3 linked regions of the Caenorhabditis elegans genome follow. The protein of the gene in region 3 interacts with the protein of the main gene of each other region in a pairwise test. Each region holds a gene or a part of one and is shown on either strand. Other genes may lie near its edges.

Region 1 (9,805 bases), about 11 Mb from region 3:
TCTTGTAACCCCTGCCATATTGGGGATTTTAAATTCTCCAATTGTTTTGGCGGTTCTAATGTCATGTCACAAAGTTGACCCAATTGTTTTGTAAAAAGTGATTAGAGAAAGTGTGCCGTCAAGGGTAATCAGTTTGTAGATTACGTAAGAACCACACAGTTTTGCGGAAGATCGAGAAGATTGGGAAAAAAGTATGTCAGCACTTAACGTCGGGTGGCAGGTATGAAGAAGTACAGAATTCGCGAAAAACCCCTTTGAAGGACATTTGCGGTGGCGGAGAGTTAATTTAAAGGTCTTCTTTTTCTCAACTGGTTGACCCCCCATACAACACTTTCATTTCCGTCAACTACAAAATAAGGAAATTGTTTCACGTTACTGTCATTTGATCGTCTTTTTCTTTGCATTGAAGCAAAGCGGAGCGGCTCAGTGAGAGCCTCCCAACAAGGAAGTAAAATTGAGTGGGAAAAGACCGTAAGACGAGGACGGCGCTCAACTTTGTGCAAGCCCTGTCTTCTCTACGTTTCGTTCGACGCACGGTTTTGGCACAATTCAACCTGGTGCGGCTCTACAAACACCACGTACGTATAGTGGTGTGCGCGTTGCGGAGAGCCACAGCAAAATAAGTAAGCGAGAATAATTGAGAAGACAAACAGGGGCCCCCTCCCGAGCATAGATGGCCGCCGAGCCACACAGTGATGACCGGCGGCGCTGTCACGAAGGTCCACACCAACGGCGTCTCGATAACACTCTCGGCGCAAGTCAGACCACAAATCGGAAAGAGGTGATGGAAAAAGGTCGTCGCTCCATATTTGCCTACCAGATGCAAAACCGTATAGTTATTCAATTTATGTTTGCCTGTTTATTGGCTCGTCACTACTTTCGTTTGTTGTTGGGCGAGTGACCATTTGGATGCGAAGGCGAAATCGAAACCGTATCCACCCCGTGTTTACTGCTACTTGAAAGTTCTCATCCAGACGGATTCCGTGTTTGAGTGCGTGTGGAGGCCGGAGCAAAATTTCACAGACACAATGAAACAACCTTGTGTAGTAGAAACAGTTTTGTAATTTGAAAAGTTTTTAAAATCAGACAACTGAGATTATATCTCGATTATACAAATCACTTGCTCCGGGTTTTTTTCTCTAGATTTCCATCGGTTTTGGGACTGCACTGGAGATTTTTGGATGAACATGTGAAAATTTTTTAAATAATGCACAGGCCGAACAGTCACACTTTGAAAATAAATTGATGTGATCTATGCAGATAGTTGCAAATTTCAAAAAACTCTACCCCTGAACACTGTCATTCTGCCATGCCATAATTTAGTTCAGTCGGATGAATGACCTTTCGTTGGCCAATTGGATGCGAAACACTGGACGGCACCGAATCGGCACGGCAAGTGGTACTGACAAGCGACAACAAAGACGGATAGACCATCAGTTAAATCAAGATAAGAATTGCTTGTGAACTTTTTCAGATATCGCATTAGGTCGAGAAGTTAATCAAATCATTGCTTTTTGAAGACATCACTGAAAGTGCCAATATTTTAGTAATTGATATTTACACAAGGGACCCCACTGAACTCATCAATTTTAAAATGTGATTTCCAGTTGATGTAAGCAACCAAGAAAAAGGCATATTACTTCAGGTTTTTTGCACTTTTATTTTCCAATCTCACAAATGTGGGCGTATGATGAGCGGCACACTCACGCATCCAAAAGTTTGCCGGATTCATAAAGTAGTATAGAAGTGTCTCACGAGCGTGGAGGGTGGCGCTGGCCCGAAAAAAAAATACGCTGAGACTGTATTGGAAAAGTTTAATCACGTATTTCGCTCGACTCGTCATTTATTTGAGCCTTAGTTTGTGTCTCGCCGTTTTTGGTTTTCCGCCTCTCCCTCATTCCCCCCGGTCTATTCCGAATTTGCCGCGACCCATCACAGGTCACGAACTTTAGTGCCCGCACGCCGCGTTTTGTATCTGCCTGCGCATCTACACGCTGACATACTATTTGTTTGATCCGCGCGGAACTGCCACAAACAACAACAATCTGCGTCCGGCGAAGACGTCGTCACCATATACCCATCTATTGCATCCAACTCATCTCTTTCTTGTATTTAATTCCTTTTTCACACACCCACACACACACACACCACACCACAGGTTGCAAACCATTGTATAATTTTCTGAAAAGCACTGTAACCAATTAGAAAACGATTTTTCAAAAGTGGAGCAGTGCTACATATATGATACCAAAATAATCAAATTTTGTATTAAAACTTTTAAAAAGTCAAAAAAAATCGTTTGAAATGTTTTTTTTACTGACAGTCAAAAAGTGGAAATTTTTAGAGTTTATGCCTCGAACAAAAACTGAGATTTTTCCAATTTCCAATTCCAGTTTGACACACATAGTGCAACTCCAATTGCTCATTATTTTATTAGTTTATTCTTACAACCATCACCCTTTTCCCAGATGTATTTCGTACCATGATGTGTGTATGTGTGTGTGTTAAAAGGTCATTTCAAGCTCTTCGTGAAAGGCACCCTGCTCAGTTTGTGCCCTGTTATGATCAATATAAATGTGTACTTTATTCCAGGGCAACGAAACGAGTAAACACCGAGAAAAGGAAGCATTCTGGATATTCCAAACTGGGGCTGATGATGACAACAACAGTTCAAAAAAATTGCTGGCGGCTTGACCAGGTGAGTGACCAGTTAGATTTGTTCAGCGACAGGCGTTTTCAGTCGGTGGTTTGAGTTTGCACAACTGTTTTCTTGTCCTTTGCGTGAGCCAAGGGGTTTGTGCTGAGTTACCCTCTATCTATTTGTCAGAATACGATGTGATGATCAAAACTTTAACATCATGCATTTTCTTGAGATCCATAAACCCCCCCCCCCCCCCCTCTCGTGTGCTTCTCTGTTTCTCGGTTTGTTCTCCTATTCACCCCGTTCGTTTCAGTGACGTGTCGTCGTTTGTTTCTGCCTGCCAAATATGGCTACGGGGGGGAATATGAATTAAATTGACTTGGTATCTATCATTCCATTTTTATTTTCTGGGAGATGTCAAGAAATTTTGGAGACGAGCGGTTTTTAAAATTAATGTAGTTTTTTTTGTTGTGTTCTCACATTTTAGTTTTCTAATCGGGGAAATGTTGGAGTAAATTGTAATTGATAGGTACACATTTACTTATCAATGGTTCACAGTTTCAGTTAATTATCAGTATTCATATGCGTTTTTATCTTTTGTATAATTTTAACATTCTACATTTTGCAACCAAAAAGCTCTCTATGTTTCTCCTTTACGGGCGGAAAGTAGTGCTGGCTTGTACCATTGCCAATCAGCTCTTTGATTAAAAAACCAACATATCAGTTGACAGTACCATTTTGCCCCTGCTCGACTTCAATGGGCCGCGCCAGATGAGTCAGCGACCTTTGCACACGAGCCCGGACAGTGCTAGGCGCCGGGGCATGACCAATGCGCGAAAGTTTTGTTGCGTAACCGCATGTTTATTGTCCGCTTGCCAATCGTTTTCACTTTTAGTGATACTTGCAGCTCGCCCTCGTCGTTATATTTTTTTTCTGACCGTCGACGCTTGCTTGCCTTCTCCGAAAAGTTTTGATATAAAACTAGCAGTATTTTTCGTTCTGTGGCTCATAGTTTCTGACGTCTTCCTCTTTATGACTTTACGCGGAAGAAAAGGGCAACATCTAAAACCACCCAGTAATATAAAGTGCGCGGTTTCGAGGGAACAGTTTCGAGAGAAAGATTAAGTAGATGAAGGCAGAGAGAACCAACATTTGCAAATATAGTACTAGGTTGGAGGAGTGCCTCGGCGCTGCGATGCCTGTCTACAAGTTTGCACTTGGCTGGTCAGTGGCGTTACGTGCCACTCTCTGTACTGCGCGAGACGTGGCCAAACTGATGCGAAGCACAATATATACACGCCCCGAAGGGTCATTGTTTGCCGTTTGCCCCCCCCCCCCTTTGCGGAAAGGCCTTTCGTACTGTACTCTTGATGTGTGCTTCCTTCCGGCCGGGCACCCGCCACCGTGGTTGTCACAACTCGGATGGCTCCCACTTCCTCCACTGTCGAAACCGTTCGGACCGCCCATTTCCATTTTGGCTCACGCCGGGCTCTCGCACACATACTTTCCACACTTCTACTGTCAGTGGTGGCAACTGGAAGCACTCCATAGTTGACTAATGACCTTTCTAACCTTGTTCCCTGTACTAGAGCTATCAATTGTGTATCATTTCTCTTTTACACTATTTCATGTTTGAATTTTCGAACAGGGGGTCAATCTCTGAGGCAGGAAGGGTGGAGCACCAGTAACGCACTTTACTCGTTTTGCCTTGGCGCGTTCATTGTTCCATTTCACAATTTTTCTCCTAATTTTCTAGACCACTTCAGTTTTTAGAAGCGCTAGATGTTGTTTCATGAAGTGACCAGTCTTGCGTGTTCAGTTTTTTTCTTGGCGTAAATGCCCACTCTTCTTCTTTTCTCCTAGCTGCCCCTTCTTCACTTTCTCCAAATCAAGGTTCAGCTATAGAAAGTAAAATCGCCTTTCACTCATCCTGGACAAGATTGACTACGAGCTTTTGCAGCTTCTAAGACTTCTTCGAGAATGGGGGGGGGGGGGGGGGGGGCGCGACGTGAAAATGAAGGGCATTCATGGATCCCGTAGTAAATATGTGATATCATCTATACCAATTTTCTGGATATCGAACTAATCATTGACGATTGCAAAATTTCGAAAAATTTGTAGGAGAGAAACGATTTCATCTGACCGATCCGAGACTGGCACCCCTTTGTTCTAGGCCCTCTCCCGATTGCCATAGAGATGTCCATCCATCACCTTTCCTGACAACCCCAGATGGTGGCGTATGTGTATGTGTGTGTTTTTTGACTAATTGGAAACGAAAAGCCGACTCCAGACTTGTAATTTTGCTCCAGCAATGTTTTTTTTCCAGATCTTTTCAAATTGACGAATCTGCCTTTAAACGTTTCGTGATAGACATAGAAATTGACATCCGGTCAAATAATTAGATGAAAAAACCTTCCATATTGGGGGCAAAACGTCCAAGTGAGAGTGGATCGGCGACTGGCGCCAAATTGCTGCTGCCGACGCAGTTACCATACTTGGATGTCGGACAAGGCGGATTTCGAGAGTTGTTTTTATGTACACACGCCTTTCACCTCTTTGCCCCTTGTGATCTTTTTTGCATTCGTTAGACGCTTCTTTCATTTTCGTTCCTCATCACCATCATCATCCACTACTAATGGTTCAGGGCACGGCGTATGCGCGCGCGTGCCTCACACCATCGGATCGCGGATGTTTTGGCGGGGTTGGCTGTTCATTTAGGGGGGAGGCGGCCGATTGAAATGAAGAAGATGTTGTGGATGTAGAAGTAGGAGGAGATGGAGGAGGCAAAGGCCTTCTCCCTCGCGGTTCTTCGTGGCAGGCAGCCTGACCCCGTTCCTTACTGAACCGCCCCCCCCCCCCCCCTCTCACTTCCACCCGACGCCGCCATCGGAATTTTAGACTACCAGTAGAATATGGATAGCGGAAGGTGTGAAACTTCAGACTGCGATTCTCTAGATTCACGCTTACTGTATTTCTACCTTACTACTAGTCTTGTTACGATTACCTTCCTAATTTTAACGTTTGATATGTTTTCACCTTCGGCTTCTATACAATTCCCATCATCTTGAAATAGGTATTATCAGCATGTAAGCATGCCAAACAAATATTTTTGTTGTCCAGTGGTGCTCGACCGTTCCAGGATCGGTATTATGCAATTTTTCGCTGAACCAAGCATATACATACTGATAAGAAAAATGTTTGTTCTGTCGGCCACTGATTACTAGACACTTGAATTCTGACCGCCATAAATGGCGAATCGTACGCGAGAAGTGCTGACGCCGTCTTGCGCCGATGTCCAATAGGACCTTGCACTTTGCCGATGTTGCAACAGTAATAGTTTCCATCAAGGTTATGCGGACTAGTGCCACGCGATTGGGTCAAGCCGTTGGCTTCCGCCTTTCTTATCAAAATCTTCGCCCTCAATTACCTAATTTTGTGGTTTTTTTTTTCTCTCCCGAATCCATCAATCCGGTGTCAATCCGTGTCTTCCGCGCTAGGTCATGCGGGCGGCGACGGCGCGGCCCTTTTTTCGGTAATCGTCCTGGCATCCCACACTTTCCATTGGCCCGGATATAATAACTTTTTGGAGACCCCCTTTCTGGTGCCTATTTGCAAAACTTGCTTCATTTTTGGTCACTTTTACTCGAACTTTCTCTTCGACGATGACCCCCTCGCCCGCCACAAAAACAAAAAGTGAAACTTGGAACGGTACTCGTTATACCTCATGCCTTTACTTTCTCGCGCCACTTCCTCGCAGTATTCCATGGATGGAAAAGCGGTCAAAAAAGTATTATGATCAGGCTGGCGGAAGATAGATGGAAGGAATTGTGGGTCAACGAAGTCAAAACACCATTACTCGATAAAAGTCGCCGCATGTTGCGGAATGTGTGCCATCGAAACTGGTTACTGTATTTCTTTTCCGAGAATTTTGCTTTGCCCCGCTATCAACTTTTTGTTCTATCTTCTTTAGAAATTCCGAATTAAATAATGATAATCATATACTTCTGTATTCTTTTTAACCCTTCTTTAGTCTGTTTTTGAAATTTCGACCAACCACCTCAACAAAATTTACCAAAATCAAAAAAAAAAGTGAATGTGTCAATCTCGTTTCAACGCATGTTTCTCGCCAATTTCCGTACAGTCAGTTGTGCCTCCTGCCGGTCACTCATCCTCTATCTCTTCGCCACTCTCGTTCTCGCGCACCTCATCCAAATAACAGTATTCGGTGTCTTAGTTGGCAGCCGGTTGGTGCCTGCCACGATAGGTTATCAGTTCAAATGGCACGCGCCTCTCTCGACTGCCCCATCAGCTGATTTGTCCGCCCCAAGCAACTGATAGTGCCTGGGGCGGAGAGATAGATGAGAAAAAATCGTCTGATTCTAGGTGTCTGAACCTCGCTCGCTATCCAACAGCAGGTCCGCTCGTTTTTTTTGTCACATCTCTCTTCGTTGGTCATATCTCTTTTTCATCATCTGTCTAGTTTGAGTTCAATTTCTAATTCATCAGAGGTCATTTGGTTATTATTATTCTATTGCTCCCATCGCTATTTTTTTTTGCTCATTTGATTTAACACATCAATTTTCCTTTTCAGACAATGCTGGGTCTTGAAAAGCCTGGATCATCAGACATTTCGTCTTCTTCCACTGATACTTCCGCCATTTCTCCGATTAGCGTGAGCAGTATGCCACTATCACCGGACAAGGAAAAGAAAAAGGTAAGTACTTTGAGATAACTGTTTGGACTGTCCGAAGGGCAAACATAGTTTTGAAAGAGAACGTTTGCATAGTTGACCGGTGTTTGTTCAGACGGAAAATTTAGGGCTTCCTTCCCACACGAATTTCAAAACAACCTGACACCGGGAAACACCGCCTTAACTGGCGATTTTGGGCCGATAATAATAGTTTTTTTTCAGATCTCATTTGTCCGATACAATCCAGACATTCCACAAATTGTCACATCTTTCAAAGGATATCAAAAACTTATGTATCAAGGCTACCGATATAATATTTATCAGGTATCATAGACCATCATTCAAGTGGTGACTTTCATCACGAGTTGTTTTTTTTCAGATTGCTCCAGAACGTAACTTCAAGTCTTGGAGATGCGTTTGCGCTAAGAAAATGCATGATGGGCAGTGGTGCAAATGCCGAGCTGAAACAACCATGGATAATAAAAACGCATGCACGAAAGGATCACACAATCACCCTCCAAGACACCATGTCGCTGAGATCGAATTTATCAAGGTACGTGGCGAGATTACACAGTCACAACTGTCTAGGTTAAGAGCTAGTGCCCTTTGCAATTGGCGCAGTGCCAGATCAGAGCACCGATATCATAAGGTTGAATTTGCCAGCTGACTCTTTTTGTTCCAATTGGTTCCTAGGCTTGGCGCCTTCAAGTTCGAATTTCATAACGTCATGTGGAACCTCTAGCTTTTGAGAGTGTCTAAGGGAATTGTGTGTACGTGCAAAAAAGATAACTTTTTTTTATTTCGTAACCCTTAAAAATTCACTTCATGGCACCAGTAGATGGAAAAAAAAGATCGTCGGCCCTTTTCGAGTGTGTCAAAAATAGTTTGTGTATACAAGTTAAAAGTGCAACGAGATGCGCTACTTTCGGCGCTGGGTGGCGCCGCCGAGTGCCTAGGTCAGTTGCGATGTTGGTCAGGTCAAATAAAACAATCTGAGCGTGGCACGGTTCGAAACATCGGCCACTCATGCGCGTGCCGCAATTTTGCCCCCCTCCTCCCTCCCATGTTGATGAACCGCGAATAATTCGCAAACAGATCCGCGCATTGCCAAGGTCAAGCCATGGATGGCAGGCACGCGGCAGCGCGCGCGGGGACAGGCTGGGCCATACCACCCGACTCGTTAACCTAGATGCGCCAATTTTCCCAAATCTATTGCGTCGCTGCCATTCAAATTGACGGTACAAACTTTTTGCGAATTCTTCCGAATTGGGTCATCGGAAGGGTCAATTCTGACGCAATGTAAAGTGCATCGAATTTCAAATCCTGATTCGACCTTTGTAGATGCAGTTTAAAAATACAAAATTATATTATTTCAGTCTCAACTATACTCTGCTGCCTTGGAAAATCCGGACCACGATGCTGGAGATCTTGTGAATCAAGCTAGCATGTACTTGAGTGATGGAGTGATGTTTGATAACAAGGAGAGTATAAAGAAAAGCCTAGTTGTTGCCAGAAATAAGGATGGAAAACCAAAGAAGCCAAGAAGTAAACGAATGATGAAGTTTGAAGTTGATGTAAGTTTTCGGTTAGAGAAAAACTAGTTTATTAAACTGTAATTTGTAAATTCAGGACGATGACGAGAATGAGTACAAAATGCCTAAACTGGAGACTGATATTTCATGCTTTTTGCCATTCATCAATAATATGGTCAAAGTTGAGCCACCATTCAGCCATACACCGACTATTCAAATTCCTCAACCTATCCCAACTCCTATCCAACATCAACAACAAGAGCAAAGCAATTTACTTCAGCCTGCAACGTTGAATGGTATGAACAATCCATGGATGGGAATGGAAGATCACCTCGCAATGATCTGGGCGGCAAATGCTATGTTGAACCCAGGCCTGGATGTACTTTCCACTATTGCTGCACTTTCCAAGCATCAGCAGCATGTCCAAGGTCCATCGCCTCAACAAGCTGCAACGGCTCCAACAACTGCTTCCCTTTCTTCAAATCTTTCTGTCAGTAGCTTCACACCGCAAATGCCCAAGGAAGCTTCCATCGCAATTCCAGCTCCACTTCAGGTGCTTAACTTGAAAGATCTGAAACCTCTTCCACCACTCGCGAACATTCAAACGAGCCCAGTCATTCAAGCAGCCAATCTACTTTTGCCAGTAGCCGCGTTGAAAAAAGATTCGAGCACTCAGACCACAGAGGTAGCTTACGACACTCTCACGTGATGACATCATTGTGATTTTTTTGTTTTTCAGGAAATCAAAGTATCTCAGTGCCTGACTTCTGGCTGCGGGTGCCGTGTGATCCGAATTTGCTGCTGTGATGAAGGAGTATGCCGACGAACAGCAGCATGCTAAAAAATACTAAACATCATCTCGCCGGTCGAGCATTCCAAACACTGTTCCAACTCTACCAACTGCCTTTCTTGGGTCTGGTTACCCGCTTTCCGTTGTCATAC
Region 2 (8,959 bases), on a different chromosome or scaffold from region 3:
GGTAGTTGCGGAATTGAACATCAAATTAACTTATTCTTCTTGTCAGAAACATCCACATATATCATAATTGAAGACTCCAAAACATTTTTCAAGATTTCAAAATTTTAGCCCAAGTTTTGGTAAATTTAAAAAAAAAAAAAAAAAAAAAAAAAAAAACATTTTACAAATTGTGACTTTTTGAGGTATTTTGAGCACTTTTGAAGACTGTTGACAATGTGTGAATAATAATACTTGAAAGGTAATTGAAATATGAACTAGAAATAAAACAATTTTTTTTATATTTGCTATTTACAAATTTCGGGAGTTATATAAATAAATAAAATCCCATTATAATGCATTGATTACCATTATTCCATGGAGGACGGTTATCCATAGTTGACTGGCTTTGACCATTTTGATGAGGTTTTCGGCTTCGAGACCTTTTTCGATCTTTCTCAATACCATCCCGGTGAACATCCTGAAAATTTAAAATTAGTAAAAATTAAATTAAGCGGGTAACTTACATATCGGTCAACGTTTGACATTTTTGAGATGTTTTTGAACAAATAATGAAAAAGAAAGAATGGTGAAAGGATTTCTTGAAAAATATTTTATGTGCTCAAATGCGCAGGATGTATCCATAGAGACAATTCACTTGCTCATGCTTTTCCAAATTGTATAGTCATGAATAATGGAAAAAAGAAAGAAACTTTGAAATGTTGAAGGATAAAAGCAAATACAGCATAGAAAAATACCACATTTTCAGGTATTTCAGGTATTGATTTCTACAAGTTTAATTGATAATAGCAAGTGTTTAAAACAGTTAACTAAAGATTTGAAAACATTTTGAGAAGATTTTTTAATTTTCAAAGATGCAAAATGAGATTCCGGTATTGTGCCTAAATATTTTTTCTTTTTTTTTTGTATTTTGGAATAATGCGATTATTTCAAACGATTTAAAGCACATTCTGCCTTTATTGCATTATGTTATCTGAAATTAGAATCCACGATTAAAAATTATATTTTTTGAAACAGTTCTAAAATGTGGAACATTAAATATAAAGGTGGCAAATTTGGTTTTGTCTCATTTCCAAATTTTCCAAGAATCCAGACAACACAAATTCATTGTTTTCTAAGCTTCACCGATGTTTGTTTAGACGTCGTTGTCGTATCTCATTTTCAATTAGGCGTTTACATGGGTCACCGAGATGTGGAAAAATAAAGAGAAAATGCATGTAATTCCTTGTTTTTAGAGATATGGTGTGTGTGTGTGTGTCTAATGAATGAAATCTGCTGTTTTTGTTTTCACTGATTCATTTTTCACATTAATTTGAAACTACGCTTTGTAAATAGTAGGTCAAAACATTTAACAAGACAATACATAATCTGGAATTTTTTTATCAAGTGGAAATTTATTTATTTTATCAGATTTTTTAAGAATCATGATATTTCTTTTTAAAAAAAGCTTCCAAAATGTACATATGTCTACATTTACACATCCCCTAAATTTCAAGAGGTCGGCAAAAAACAGTAATGGGAAAATAAACTAAAAAGACTTCAATTGAATTTTTAAGTGGAAATTTAAAAAAAAAACGCTAAAACGTCTAAATATCATTGTGAACCTTTTCAGAAATTTTTATTTACAGCCAAAATGTGGTGATAACTTAGTTTTACCAATCATAATTTGACAGTCGACCAAAAAAAATATATCATCAACCAGTTTTATACGTTTTTAATTTTGTTTCTATAACCATTTGTGTTTTAAAAATTCTATGTTTTTGAACATGAAGCAATGCTCAAAATTACTTTAAAAGTGCACGTTCTTGATAACCGAAATGTTGTCACTAATTCAGCCTGCAATTCTTTGAAATGGTTGCAGTATTTTGTGCAATTAAATGTATATCCATTTTCATGATTTTTTGTTAGCTTAAAATATATTCAAGAAATAAATATTAAACCTTCTTCATTTTCTAAATTATGCGTGCAGGTTGTTGTATCTTTCTCACAAAAAACTGTAAATTGTCAAAGAAATGAGATGGGATTGTAAGAAAAGTGGGTTTGCGTGAAGAGATTTGAAGCGAATTGGTGGGAAAAAGCAAGAAAAAAAGAAAATTGTTTCTAAAGTACTCCAATTATTGGCGGGAAATTGAGAAAACCGATCATAAGCTCAAAAACTAGATGCATCCTGTGAAAAATTGTGTGGAATTGAAATAATAATAATGTTAATAATGTGAGAAAAAACTGGGAGAAATTGGGGGAAAAAATAGAGAAAGAGAGACAAAAAATTCATAGTCATGGAATTCATATAAAGTTTAAAAGAACATAAAAAAGCAAATGAATGAGAAAGAAAAAGCCTATATGGTGCTACAGTAACCGAATGAAATTTTTGATGGGATGTGAATATTTGGGAGACAATACTGTACTGTACATAGAGAGAGACCAAAATAATCGAAACTTAAATGGGATGGAGAAAAAAATGAAATTCAAAGACCCGCTGTTTATATCATATTTTCTCGATTTCAGAGTTCTTAGTGGAGGAGGTGAAACTTTGAGAGAGTACAATATTCATTTAAAAAAATTAAACTTAATAAGCTGGGGTTTCTACTCTTGGTGGGACCGTGGAGACGACGTTGGAGAAGATGCTGGAGATGGCGTCGACGTCTCCGCTTGAGAGTTCAGACCTGAAATTATTTATTCATTAAAATCAAGGCTTAAAAATTGTTCAAAGATTTTTTAAATATTGTATATTGCAATAAACCTAGGCACCAAGTCAATTAAGCTATATTTCAAAAGTTTTTGAAATTTTTAGTTTTTGAAAGTTTTAAGATTGAGTTGTGTGAAAAATGATCTGATTTTTTGAAAATTATTAAAATCTCCAAAAAGCTTTCAGAATGTTTTTTGCATCTAAACAACCTTAAAATCACTAAAATAATGTAAAATCCGGATTTAGAGCAGCTTGACATGCTTGTATTTGAAGGAATGCTCTGAGAAATTTCAGTTCAACGTTTCAAATAAGACTAGGCTTTCTAGTTTTTCCCCATATTGGTCAACTAGAATTGCTTTTACATGTTCAATAAGTTATAAGAAAGTGTTTCCCATCAACTATACGAACGGATCAAATCGGCAATTTATCATTCGGTGACTTGACTCCGGGAGCAGCGCTCCTTTTTTGGACAAAAACTGAGTGACGAAGAACACGCGGTTTAGAAAAACGAGCACACTAATCCGTGGGGTCAATGAGGAGACACTTACTTCAGTTTAAGCCCTTTTTCGTTGCCTTTGACGTTTCGAACAAAATTATTACATAGAAAAGAACTCCTCTTTCTGAGCTAAAACATTTGAAAAGGATCTAGAACTTAAGTGTAGACCCTCTTTTGTTAATGCCTATCTAGAAGCTGTAGCTACTGAACTTTCCCCTTATAATGTGTATCAGAAAACATACACCTATTATCAGTAAATATGGGATGATTAGTGCATTAAATAGCAAAAAAACTGAGCGTCACGACAGGATAACAACTTTAAAATTAAGAGGATTACGTTTCGACTTTTCTTGTTCATGTACAAGCACGCACGGTGTTCAACTAGCTGTCAATCATTCGGAATACCCAAAAAAAGAATGATAAGAAAAAGCAGACAGGTTGCCATGTAACAAAATGTAAGAAAAGTGTATTCACCTGCTCACCTCACCTGCTTCATTTGGAGGAGTTGTTTGTGGTGCCAAAAGTGCAAGTTGTTGCCCTTGAGCAGCTTGTTGGGCTAGAAGTTGGAACATGAATGGGTGCATTGTGTGACGGAACAAAGTTGGATCCAATCGTGCCATTACTTCCATTTGTTTTTTCATTGCGTTTTGGAACAAGCTTCCCGTTAATAGATTTTCGTCTGATGATGGTGGAGAATCCTAAATAAAAAGATGTTTGCTAGGGGTTACCATTATTCATCATCTTGAACTAAATTACTTCACTTTAACAACTTTATGAAAAATATAAGCTGCCAAAAGGCACTGCTGTATGCTTCAATGTATCTTCCAAGTACAGTAACCCATGCCTAAACTTTACAATATGACCCCCTGATCTCCCATCAATTCCTTAATGTACTTTATGAAAATGTATAAAACCATCATTCAATCATGTTTGTTGTTAAAGCGGCACAGTTTTGTCGGCTGCTTCACACTCACCTCACAAGTTTGCACATACACACATACAAATGATTCATACTAGTTTACATCTCTATAAAATGTGCAGAACAAGATGAAGGGAGAGGAGGACTCTTTATTTGCCCCTACTAAACATATAATAGTTTTTAAGTCCATTTCGTAAAACTGTTAGAATAAGAGGGAAGATGGGGAAAACTATAAAATCTGTACAATGTATTTTATGATCTAAACTTTTTTGCTCTCACCTTCTTTGATGAATCGTCATCTGAAGTGACATCGGCAATCGACCACATTTTTGGTTTACGCTTCGGACTTTCAGAATCATCATTTGGAATTGGGGATACTAGTTCTTTCTTCGGTGTTGTCAACTCATCTGATCCTCCAGATCCTCCCGAAGGCGTTGGTGATGCTAGATGTGGCTTTCCGAATAGGGATTCTCCTTTTCTTTCGGAATTTATGGATGTTGAGCTTGATGGACGGTTCATGTCATCATCATCGTCGTCTTCATCGTCATCACAACCATCGCCTCGTCGATTTTGTGGTGACCAAGTCATCTTGTTCTCCTTCTTCAGTCGTCTTCTGGCGTTAGCAAACCATGTCGAGACCTGTAATTAAAAATATAAATTTCAAGCTTCGGCTTTGTTTTTCGGGCTAGAGTTTATTTTAATAAAATAACTTCAAAGTTTTGGTTCAAACAATTTTAAAATCTAATTTTTGGCGCCAAGGTTGTGTGTTGTTGGTCTATTGCAACAAAATCAAACAAGTAGTAGCCCTATTTGGTTTGAAACATTTCTCGTATTGTGTAAAGAATGTCTCTCGAAACACATTAATTAAGCGGGGTACGAGGTGTCATCATCATCGCTTATCGCCTCTGTACATCTTTTGTTTCTCGCCCCTCTTTTTTTGGCATCGGTCAAAAAAGGAGACATTTGCCCCCGGGGTTTGATGGCCGGTGAGTGGCTAATGTTACAATAACACTGCGGGAAACACTGTCTACTACATTTTACAACAATATTTTTTGTGGTATTTGTAATTGATGACTAGAGGCGGCTCTAAAATCCCGTGTGAGCTAATAAATTGAGCAAATATTGTGGAGTAAATTACGAGATTACGGTTGGTAATAGGCTATTACGGCTATTAAATCATTTCACAGTGTTGCATTTACTAATTGTTGTCAAAACAAGAAATAATACAACATACCTGTGTAAGTGTCATTCCTGTACCAACTGCCAACATAACTTTATCAGCTTTTGATGGATATGGATTCTTTCTATGAGAATGAAGCCAATCTTTGAGTGGTGCAGTTGCTTCTCGTGTTGCATTTCTTTTCTTGATTCCATCTAAACCATATGGATGATATAAACGATGAGCATCACTGAAGAACATGGGCATCGGTCCTGGCCCTCCACCTAATAACATTTCTGGTTTCAGATCTGCTGGAATTCCATGTGGAAACATCGGAACTCCGGGGAAGCCAGCAAGAGTTGCTTGTTGAGCGGCGGCGGCGGCTTGAGCTTGAGCAGCGAGAACTTGAGCCATGGCAGGATGGAAATGAAATTGACCTAAAAGGTTTGGTGGCAGAATTCCGCGAAGTGCATCCGGAGCTGAAGTGGGTGGAGCAGGAGTCGTTGTTTGTGGTGTTGTGGGCTCTTCCATTTTGACCTGGAAATGGATTTACTTTTCTAGTCAGGTGAAGTGAAGGTATCCAAACGAATAAATCTGACATTTGGCATCTAAATTTTTTGGAAGGAAGTATTTTGAGACTGTGTTCAAATGTTGTCTAATCTAAGATTTATGTAAAAATTGGTAGGAATCGAAAACGAAAACCTTGTCCAAGCTTTGACAACTTCTCAACTGCAATTTTCTATATTAGACTTGCACCCCCCTCTTCCTTCACTTTGACAGTTTATATCTCAGTTCTTTGTGGTTTTATTAAAAAACTTCAAACGGACAATTTACTTGCAAAATAATTTTCTATGTTTTGGTTGTATAACACTTTTTGATAAAGCTGAAGGCAACCGAGATATAAACCGCCAAGCAGTGGCGGTGCAAGGTTAACATGGCAATTGGAAAGAGCAGGAAGTTGACTCCAAGTGTCAAGAAGGACAAAAATGAAATAAATAAATGTAAGAACACTACTTGAGAATATAGAAATTATAATTTAGCTTATTAAACTTATCGCTTAAAAACTGACCTGATTGGCAATAGGAATCATTGTGATGGTGTAGTAGAAGTAGATGTGTTGATCTCAGTACAAGTGCAGAAACAATAGTTGATAAGTATGATTATTTATGATCTGAAGAACACATTGATATCAGTTATAATTCCAGAGCAGTTTTTTGTTGAAAAAGATAGACAGAGAGAGTGAGAGAGAGGCAGAGAGGCGACGAAATCAAGAGGGAGCAAAGGAGGAGCGATTCAGTGATAAGCATAGAAGAGAAAGAGAAAAGGTTTGATTGATAATTCTTGAAGAAATTGAGATGATGTAGAACTATGTGGGACCTTATGTTCAACAACTTGTTGAGCAATCTCGATTTTCTGCAGATGCCCGCCCGGGGCCGTGTGTGTCTCTCTCTCTCTCTCAAGTCCCGCCCACCATCCAATAGACATGGAAGCCACAGGGCGGGGCCTGGAGAGTAGGGAAAGAAATTGAAGAAGCGCAAAAAACACGTGCGAACACGTAGATTTAACAAGATAAACCGGAGAAATTCACGAAGAGAAACGGAAAAGAATCGGAGTAAAGAGAAGTAGAAGAAGATGATGATGAAGGATACAAGAATCGAACGGAAAGAAAACAAATTGATGATATGGCAACTAAAAGAGATTGAAAGATAAACAATTAACCGTTCCAGCTAATGATTGTAAGAATGATGATGGTTTTGATATCTTACTATTTCATTGTTTAGTGTTATTATTTCCAAGTTTGATTCTAGAATTGTTATTTTTGTGCAAAAAAAATCTTTCGAACCTAATACCTCTCTACCTCTACCAATTATCAAGTTTGGGAATGAAAATTAAGAAATACAAGAACCAAAAATCTCAATAAATGTATTCACAAGGACGAAGAGCAAACAAGTTGTAAATTTGCTGGCTGGCTCACGAATGGAAACTGAAAATTGAAGCAAATAACGGGAAGAGGAAGCTTTGGAAGGATCATTGCATAGAGTTTAATCCGAAATATTGGCAGGATGAAGAGAAAAAAAGTATAAACATTTGAAAGTTAAAAAGTAAAACGACGGAAAATCTAGAGAGTACTATCAAATGACCCGAACACACAATGGCGCCACGAACAAAAAAAGGACAAAGGAGAAGAAGCTGAAATCAGTGAACTTAAGTCAAGAATGATACATCGTAGAAGCAATTAGGTAATGGTCAGAACGGTTTGTAGGGGGACAAGAATTGAGAGAATAGAAGTTTAAAATGGCATGTCTCTTGTTGTCCGAAGCGGGGTGTAAAGAAGTGTAGCTGCTGGATAGGGGGCGCCGGCGAGAGTAAGTGGCCAACGATGGCGCTGATGACGATGATGAAGAAAAAGAAAATGGAGAAGAAAAAGGTAAAAAAAGAGGACACGGTGTAATACATTTACTATTGTGTCAGTTATTGTGTTAACATCTCTCTTTGGGTCATTCGATCATTTAGTTATTACAACATGTAACAACAACACATATATAGTAACATAAAGTTGCAACAAAAAAAGTTCAATGGCGGAAGTTTGTACTAATACAGGAAGATGTAGGTACATATGAGCCAAACAAGACAAAAAGGTGTATGGTAGGGAGATTGATGTCAAACGATGATGAGAAAGCGATGGAGGAGGAGTCATTGGGCGGAGTCAATCGCCGGGGGAGGAACACGGGAGGTAGGAGGGTGTAGACATGAGGTCGCGGCACAATTTATGAGGAGCTGGAGCCAGAAGATGATGAAGCTGTGGAATTGAAGTAGAAGAAGCAACTAGTTAATGGGTTTTGGTGCTTTCCAGAGAGCGGTGTTGTTTTTTGTGAAAACACTGCTCACTTTTTTGTTAAATACATGGAATACGGTAGTGGTTGCAGAAAGGAAATACTTGGAGGTAATTAACGGAAAAGTTAAGCGTTCCGTTTAATCGAAAAAAGCGGGAGAAGAGTTGAATTCGACGGTGAAGAAGAAGTTGAATGTACCCAAGAGATTGAAGAACATTTGTTGATTTTTAAGAACTTCCAAAATAGTGGTTTTCCTAACTCATAAATGGGGTATTTTTCAACGAAGAAACTTGAAATGATCCAAACACGCAAGGCTTTTCCCTTTTAAAAGTTTAAAAGCTTCAAGCTAAAAACATTTGGTATAATTTTTAGGGATTTTCTTTGCCGCCGTTGTTTTTTATAGCTTTGTCACTAAAAAAATTTAAAGACCGTTAATCCAGAAAAATCAAGAGCAAAACCTGCTATCATAAACTTTTCATCGCGTTTTTTTATGAAAATGAAAAGTTTCTATATTGAATTTACTACTTGAATACCGAGCATTCGGATTATTACTTTGTTTTAACCAAGAGCAGATATAGAAAAATTGTCTGCCAGTATACAACTCTATTAAAGTTGCAATAATCTCTATGATACCCATAATATAAGTACGAGAGTGTTTTTGAATACATTGCCATATCTATAATTACAGTTCTTATTCTAACAGCTGGTAGAGACACCTTCTTGCCATTGTACCAAAACACATCGATCAACTCATACATCATGACACGTGTCTACAAAAAGGGGCATGAACTGGAAGAACTTTAGCAGGTGGGATATTTCAGATGGTACAACAATATATCTTAATCTGATCTTGCTATATAATATGGAA
Region 3 (5,780 bases):
ATTGCCAATTTGTTATTCATTTTTCCATATACCGTATATTCTCTATTAGAGCGGCGTATCTATTAGAGCGACACCCTAACTGGCTCTTCGAAAATTAGAGCGGCAGTCTCTATTAGTGCGGCACTCCTTTTTTTTGGGTGCGAAAAGATAACGTTATATGCGAGCAATTGATAGAAAAGAAATGAATTCTAGATTTTAATTGTGAGTGGGGAGAAAACAATGTGTGAACTTTTCATGTGTAATAAGAACTAGATAACTTTGAACCATATATCAAAGCACATCAAGTAAACGGAAAACTGCAGTAAAAAGGGAAGCATGTACACCGGACTGTCACGTTATCCTTAATATAAAGTAGTGGTTTTTATTATAGTCTCTCTATACTTACTCGAAAAAACTTATTCAAACGGACATAAACCAAATTTTAAAACATTCGGTACACGCTTCTACTAAAAAAAGTTTTGCAATAGTACTGAAATGTCTTCCCGAAAACCATTACATGTCACCCGGCATCATTATCACCTAGGAGATTCATCCCTAAAAAGATCAAAGGTTATACAAAAAATATATCGTGATGCAAGTCCTGTAAAAAAATGCAAGACGTCATATAGTTCTAATATGAAAATATTACAACGGAACCCGCAATGTAAAACTCTTAAAATGAAGAACTGCATGTTTGTTGTTAACCGGCTAATAAAAACTAAATTTTAAAAAGCTTTATATTCATTTTCGTATAATATACTTATTAAGAATAACACCCGGGAGTCTGTTCTGCAGCAGTGAAAAACATCCAGGTAAAACGATACAAACGTGTGAAATTTCATTAAAAAGTCTGGAATGGGTGAAAACATTTATAAGACTAATTTAATTCTCTAATTCTTCTCACTAATTCAAACGAATTCTTCATAAACTCAAAAATCAACAAAAAGGGTGTATACTTTTTAAGTTTATAAATAATGACAAAGAATTAATTGTACTCAATAGGTATCGCCTCCCACAACATAAAAGATTACAGATAAGACAGAGGAGAAATGGGTTCATTTTGAACTTAAAAACTAACTGTTAGAAATTCAGTTAATGCTACAATATTATTAGTAGAGTTGTGAAATAAACGAATGAAAATTGGTGTTATGACTTTCTGAGTTAGCAGATAATAAAACAAATATGGACAAACGACTAGCGTGTTTATTACGTAGAGGAATGTTTTGTTGTTGTTGTTATGCACGGTAAAATAAATAAAACACGAAGAAAGTGGTGGGAAACAGAGTTGTATTCTATACAGTTTAAATAAATTTGGAATCTAAAGAAATTTTTTTCTTTTTGCTCGAAATTCGCTCGTTTAATGTTCAAAATAAAAAAAATATATAAATATTAAAATAGAGCTATTGTGATATTAAATAATTTTCGCTAAAAGTCTCTAACTTAGAAAAAATATGGAAGGCTCGAAAAACACATTTATGGTGTAAACTGTGAAACAAAGACGATTACAAATTTACTATGTTTCTGTTTCAAACGAACTTTCAACGGTTTGTTGAAGTTCAAAGAAATATTTTACAGATCATCGAAATGCTGAACTTCTGACCTATATTGCTAAAAATCGGAAATATAATCCCAGCGTGTCATACATGGAAGAACATCTCATCAAATATCGTTTTGTTGGTTACGATTAACAAGGCTGCATGTAGTCAACACAGTATAAACCTGTGATTTTAGTTTTTAAATTATTACGGTCAACCCTTCGCCAATTTGCCGCTAGTTAAGCGAGAAGTTGAATAAGTTCAAGTGCACTTCAACACCATTCGGAACTCAGAAAAAGTGTTTCAAGGGCGATTTAGAAGCATTTTCATCAAGAGTGAACAACTGGTTGGCGGTTTGATTCATGAAATCAAATTTAAGTATCGAATGAAAAAACTCATGTTTGTAGTACTATGGCAGAAAGATAATAACTTCTTAGTAACGATATATAACTACTACTTCTCTGTGTGTTTTTATTTATTTTGTTAAATATGCGTCTCAAAAGTTAAACAGTGTAATTGAAAAGAAAAATAGCTATAAATATGAAGAAAAAATTGAAAAAAAAAATCATGATCCAGACGAAGAAGACGATGGTGCAGTTCCAAAGCTGTTTATTCCAAATGGAAATGCTGATGCAAACATCTAAAGCAAACAATTGATTTTTTGAATTTTTAATTTTCCGATTGTTAAACACCTTCCGCACGAATTTTTATGTGAGTTTTGAATTTTTTCGTTCATTGTAAAAGCTGTGTTTATTCAGGTCAAGCACTATTTTTTATATATAATTTTAGCTCTCGTGAAAGGAAAATTAAACTCACTGGATTGAAAGGGATCTGGCTCAATTGTAAGGTTCTGTCCTGGGCTAACCGCTTGCATTTGTATCGGCGATTTTGAAACCAAATTTTCACCTTAAAATGATTATGTAAAACATACAGTAATACGATTACATTACTTGTGTGGCTGTGAGGCCAAGACATTGGGCTAGCTCTTCTCGCTCAGTGGCTGTCACATAACGTTGCTTTTTAAATCGTTCTTCAAGTTCATTAACCTAAAAATGTAGACATTGGATGTGAAGTTGAAAATGAAACAACTCATGTGAAGTATACAAAAACATAGACTATCATGATGCATCTTACTTAATTCGTATTTTTGCATTCTCTAAGAATAAATTCTAGAATGAAATCATTCAAGTAAATTTTTTTTAAACTGATTTAAGATAAAATTGGTTGGTGACTGCCGTAAGATTCATCTAGATATGCTCTCGTGTGTCTTTTCCAGAGATTTTTAAGAATTTGATGGAAAAAATTAGTCAGTATATAGTCAGTTTTGGTTGTTTTTTTCACATTTTCCAGACCGTCTAAGGAGACAATTGGTTGTGTTGAAACTAAATGTTACTACTGTGGTTCAAAATTTTTAACTACTGAAGAGCCCAAAGTTCCTGAACCGGAAATCATAACCCACACACCTGATGTTGTGTGAACAAAACTCTCGGTTTTCTCTTCTGCTGTTGTGATCTCAGATTGATAGTATCTGGATTAGAATGTTGACGGTGATTCTGATAAGATCTCTGATTTTGACTTGGAGAACCTGAAATCATCAAATGGTTTTTCAAACAAGCTTTTATTTTAAATAAATATCGATTGAACTCACTATAATATGAACTTGCACCTAACAAGGATTCTCTCTGCATCAACGGAATAACTGGTTGATATGGATTTGTAAGTTCAGAAAATGACTGATCAAAACCTTCAAATAGATTTAAACGCGACGGAAGTGTATTTTTAAACTCTGAAGGAACTGCAGATTGCTGTGGCGGTTGGATCACTTCACTTGGTAAAATAACAGTAGTAGATGAAATCTGCGTAGATTGCATTGGGACCACTAACTTCAAATTGTGAAAAAGTTCTCTCTAGAAGTTTTGATATTTGAGAAGTGTCATCACGAGTAGGAAAATAGGAGGGATTTTCACACCAAATCATCCACTAACTGTTTGTTATCCATTAGAAGAATTTGACACTTTCCCTCCATCTGCTCAACCACTTGTGGCTCGTTGGAATCTTGGTGTGCACTTATTTGGAAAGAAATTAAATACAGAGGGGTCACCCAGACAGATATAAAACTGCACGATTATTTATTTTTAAATTATAAGAAAAATGACTGCAACAAACGATTTTTGCAGCTTTTGAATTGACTTGTCGGAAAATTCAAGTATCACAACATTCACTGGAAATTATGCAACTGTTAATAAATCCTGAATTAAACAAAAATCTGCTGATAGCTTACAATGTTATTTTTTCAAATAATTAATACTGCAAACAGAGTAATAACACATGGGGTTCTATGTATATTTTATCTGATTTTTCAATATCTCACTAGTCAGTTTTTAGCTTGAACCACGCTTGTCAACATAAATATGATATGTATGGTTAATCATATATGTAGAAGAGTTTGCAACTGATTTTGTACAATATTATGTATACAACTTTCGCCTGAAAATCTTACGTTGACTTCTGTTTTATTTTCAAGATTTCCATAGATTAAAAATATACGTTTTAAAAAAATTCTCTAAAAACAGAAACAAACATGAAGAGTCGAATGCCTTGGTTACTATTTGAATGCATCTATGCTCGACATTTGTACTCCTAGATTTTTACACACATCCATTCAAATTTAGTGAACTTGGAAAACTTTGAAAATGGTAAGTTTTAAGCTAGTTCAAATTTGTTAAATTCATTATTTGCATAAAGTTTTTAAAAATGCGCACTTGGTTTTGGTTTTCTCACAGTTCTCAAAAAGTTATTAGCTCTCTTTTTCTTATACTAGGAAGAAAATATTCATTTCATAATCGATTGTTTTAGTGAAATAAAATATGACATAAAATATGGCGGTTACCCTCGATGTATTCTATTTTATTATTGGATCGAACACCGTTTCAAAAATTTTCCGTTCTCTTTCTTTCCCCTTTTCTCAAACAAAATCATAAAAAGTTGGAATGAGAAACAGCAATTTTCGAATCAGAAACAAAACGTATAAAATTAACGACATTGTGTTCTTCAACAACTACGGTAGAAAAGAATACGTACATTTTAAATGTATTTTTTCACTTTTTTGTATTTTGCAGGTGTTTTGTTTGCGAAAACGAAAATCATCGTCGTCAATGTTTGGATCAAAGAAAAAGATTCCACCTCCCAAGTTTTGCCCAGCTTCTGAGCGACGTAAGTTTACAAAAAAAATTGCCTGTCGATCTCAATAACGGTTCTGCGATTTAGTTGTTAAAAAAGAGGTAAAATTAGTCCAAACCTTTGATATTCGTAATAAGAGATTTCAAAAAAATTAAAGGTGGTTAGCCTCGAAATTGTTTGAAAACACCGAATTACTAATGAAACTTCTTGAAAACTTCTCAGAAAAAAAAGTTATGACGGCTCAAAAATGACATAAAATTAGTTAAAATTTGAAATTTTATCTACTTGTCAATGTCGCAGCTGCTGGAAACATTTTTTTTGTTGAAATCGCCGTCAAATTTTGAGTATACAATGTAACTATCTTGCGTTTTCAACTTCATTTAGATATTTTAAAGTCGATGGACGGCGAAATTTGGTTTTAAAAATTCAAAAATCTCGCCGCCCATCGACTTTAAAAAATCAAAATGCAATTGAAAACGCAGATAGTTATATTGAATACTCAAAAAATGACGGTGATTTCAAAATAAATTGTTTTCAGCCGCTGCGACATTGACAAGTCGGTCGAATTTCATTATGAAATTTGGTGTTTCGAGGCAATTTTAAGTCTAATAAACAATAAAAAACATTCGACTACACCACATTTAAATGTAAAAGGCTGAAGCGTCTTTTAGCAAATTTCAATTTTGTCCGTGTTGCAGTAAATCTTAAATTGTATATAATGGTAGTTTAATACGAGATTTTATGTTGATGCAGGGAAAAAATGTATATCTCAATTGGAAACCTCTTTTGATACAGAAAATGTAACTAAATCATTAAAAATCGCTAAACTAACTATCAAATTATGCAATAATGAGTGATGTTTGAATGAAAACTCATTTCTCTGTAAATATTAAAGACATAACAAAAATTTTCGAATCACATTCATGTTATGCATACGAATCAAACGATATTTGTTATACAGAGTTAACCAAAATCACCAAAAAAAATATTAAAGTTTCAAACATATTTTATTAAAATATTTTTCTCAATTATTTTAAAGTTTTGCAACTTTTCAGAAACCATTGTTGTATTCATTTTGCACAGGTG

Evidence for each region.
Region 1: the proteins of ceh-28 (region 3) and peb-1 interact in a two-hybrid assay, tested with the Caenorhabditis elegans proteins (one large-scale study listed by BioGRID).
Region 2: the proteins of ceh-28 (region 3) and irx-1 interact in a two-hybrid assay, tested with the Caenorhabditis elegans proteins (one large-scale study listed by BioGRID).

Annotation. Positions count from the first base shown.
Region 1 is NC_003284.9:2,208,398-2,218,202, forward strand, and holds peb-1 (FLYWCH-type zinc finger-containing protein peb-1), read left to right. Parts: upstream 1-2,653; coding exon 2,654-2,698; intron 2,699-3,844; exon of another isoform or gene 3,845-4,135; intron 4,136-5,060; exon of another isoform or gene 5,061-5,183; intron 5,184-5,238; exon of another isoform or gene 5,239-5,620; intron 5,621-5,837; exon of another isoform or gene 5,838-6,185; intron 6,186-6,408; exon of another isoform or gene 6,409-6,594; intron 6,595-6,832; exon of another isoform or gene 6,833-7,049; intron 7,050-7,232; coding exon 7,233-7,355; intron 7,356-7,422; exon of another isoform or gene 7,423-7,544; intron 7,545-7,553; coding exon 7,554-7,655; intron 7,656-7,710; coding exon 7,711-7,884; intron 7,885-8,241; exon of another isoform or gene 8,242-8,504; intron 8,505-8,707; coding exon 8,708-8,905; intron 8,906-8,960; coding exon 8,961-9,548; intron 9,549-9,602; coding exon 9,603-9,704; downstream 9,705-9,805. UniProt on the Caenorhabditis elegans protein: Putative transcription factor. Binds to specific sequence motif 5'-[TC][AGT]TGCC[GA][AT]-3' in regulatory elements of target genes such as myosin myo-2. May modulate gene expression, perhaps acting in opposition to transcription factor pha-4.
Region 2 is NC_003279.8:9,534,539-9,543,497, forward strand, and holds irx-1 (Putative iroquois-class homeodomain protein irx-1), read right to left. Parts: upstream 6,429-8,959; 5' UTR 6,348-6,428; coding exon 6,327-6,347; intron 5,795-6,326; coding exon 5,333-5,794; intron 5,133-5,332; exon of another isoform or gene 4,993-5,132; intron 4,738-4,992; coding exon 4,378-4,737; intron 3,878-4,377; coding exon 3,667-3,877; intron 2,661-3,666; coding exon 2,581-2,660; 3' UTR 1,927-2,580; downstream 1-1,926. Other genes in the region: C41G7.7 (uncharacterized protein), read right to left, coding at 346-457, 504-524.
Region 3 is NC_003284.9:13,072,287-13,078,066, reverse strand, and holds ceh-28 (Homeobox protein ceh-28), read right to left. Parts: upstream 3,395-5,780; 5' UTR 3,386-3,394; coding exon 3,163-3,385; intron 3,100-3,162; coding exon 2,978-3,099; intron 2,561-2,977; coding exon 2,465-2,560; intron 2,421-2,464; coding exon 2,331-2,420; intron 2,155-2,330; coding exon 2,080-2,154; 3' UTR 1,975-2,079; downstream 1-1,974. UniProt on the Caenorhabditis elegans protein: Probable transcription factor that regulates neuronal differention, including synapse assembly of the cholinergic motor neuron M4.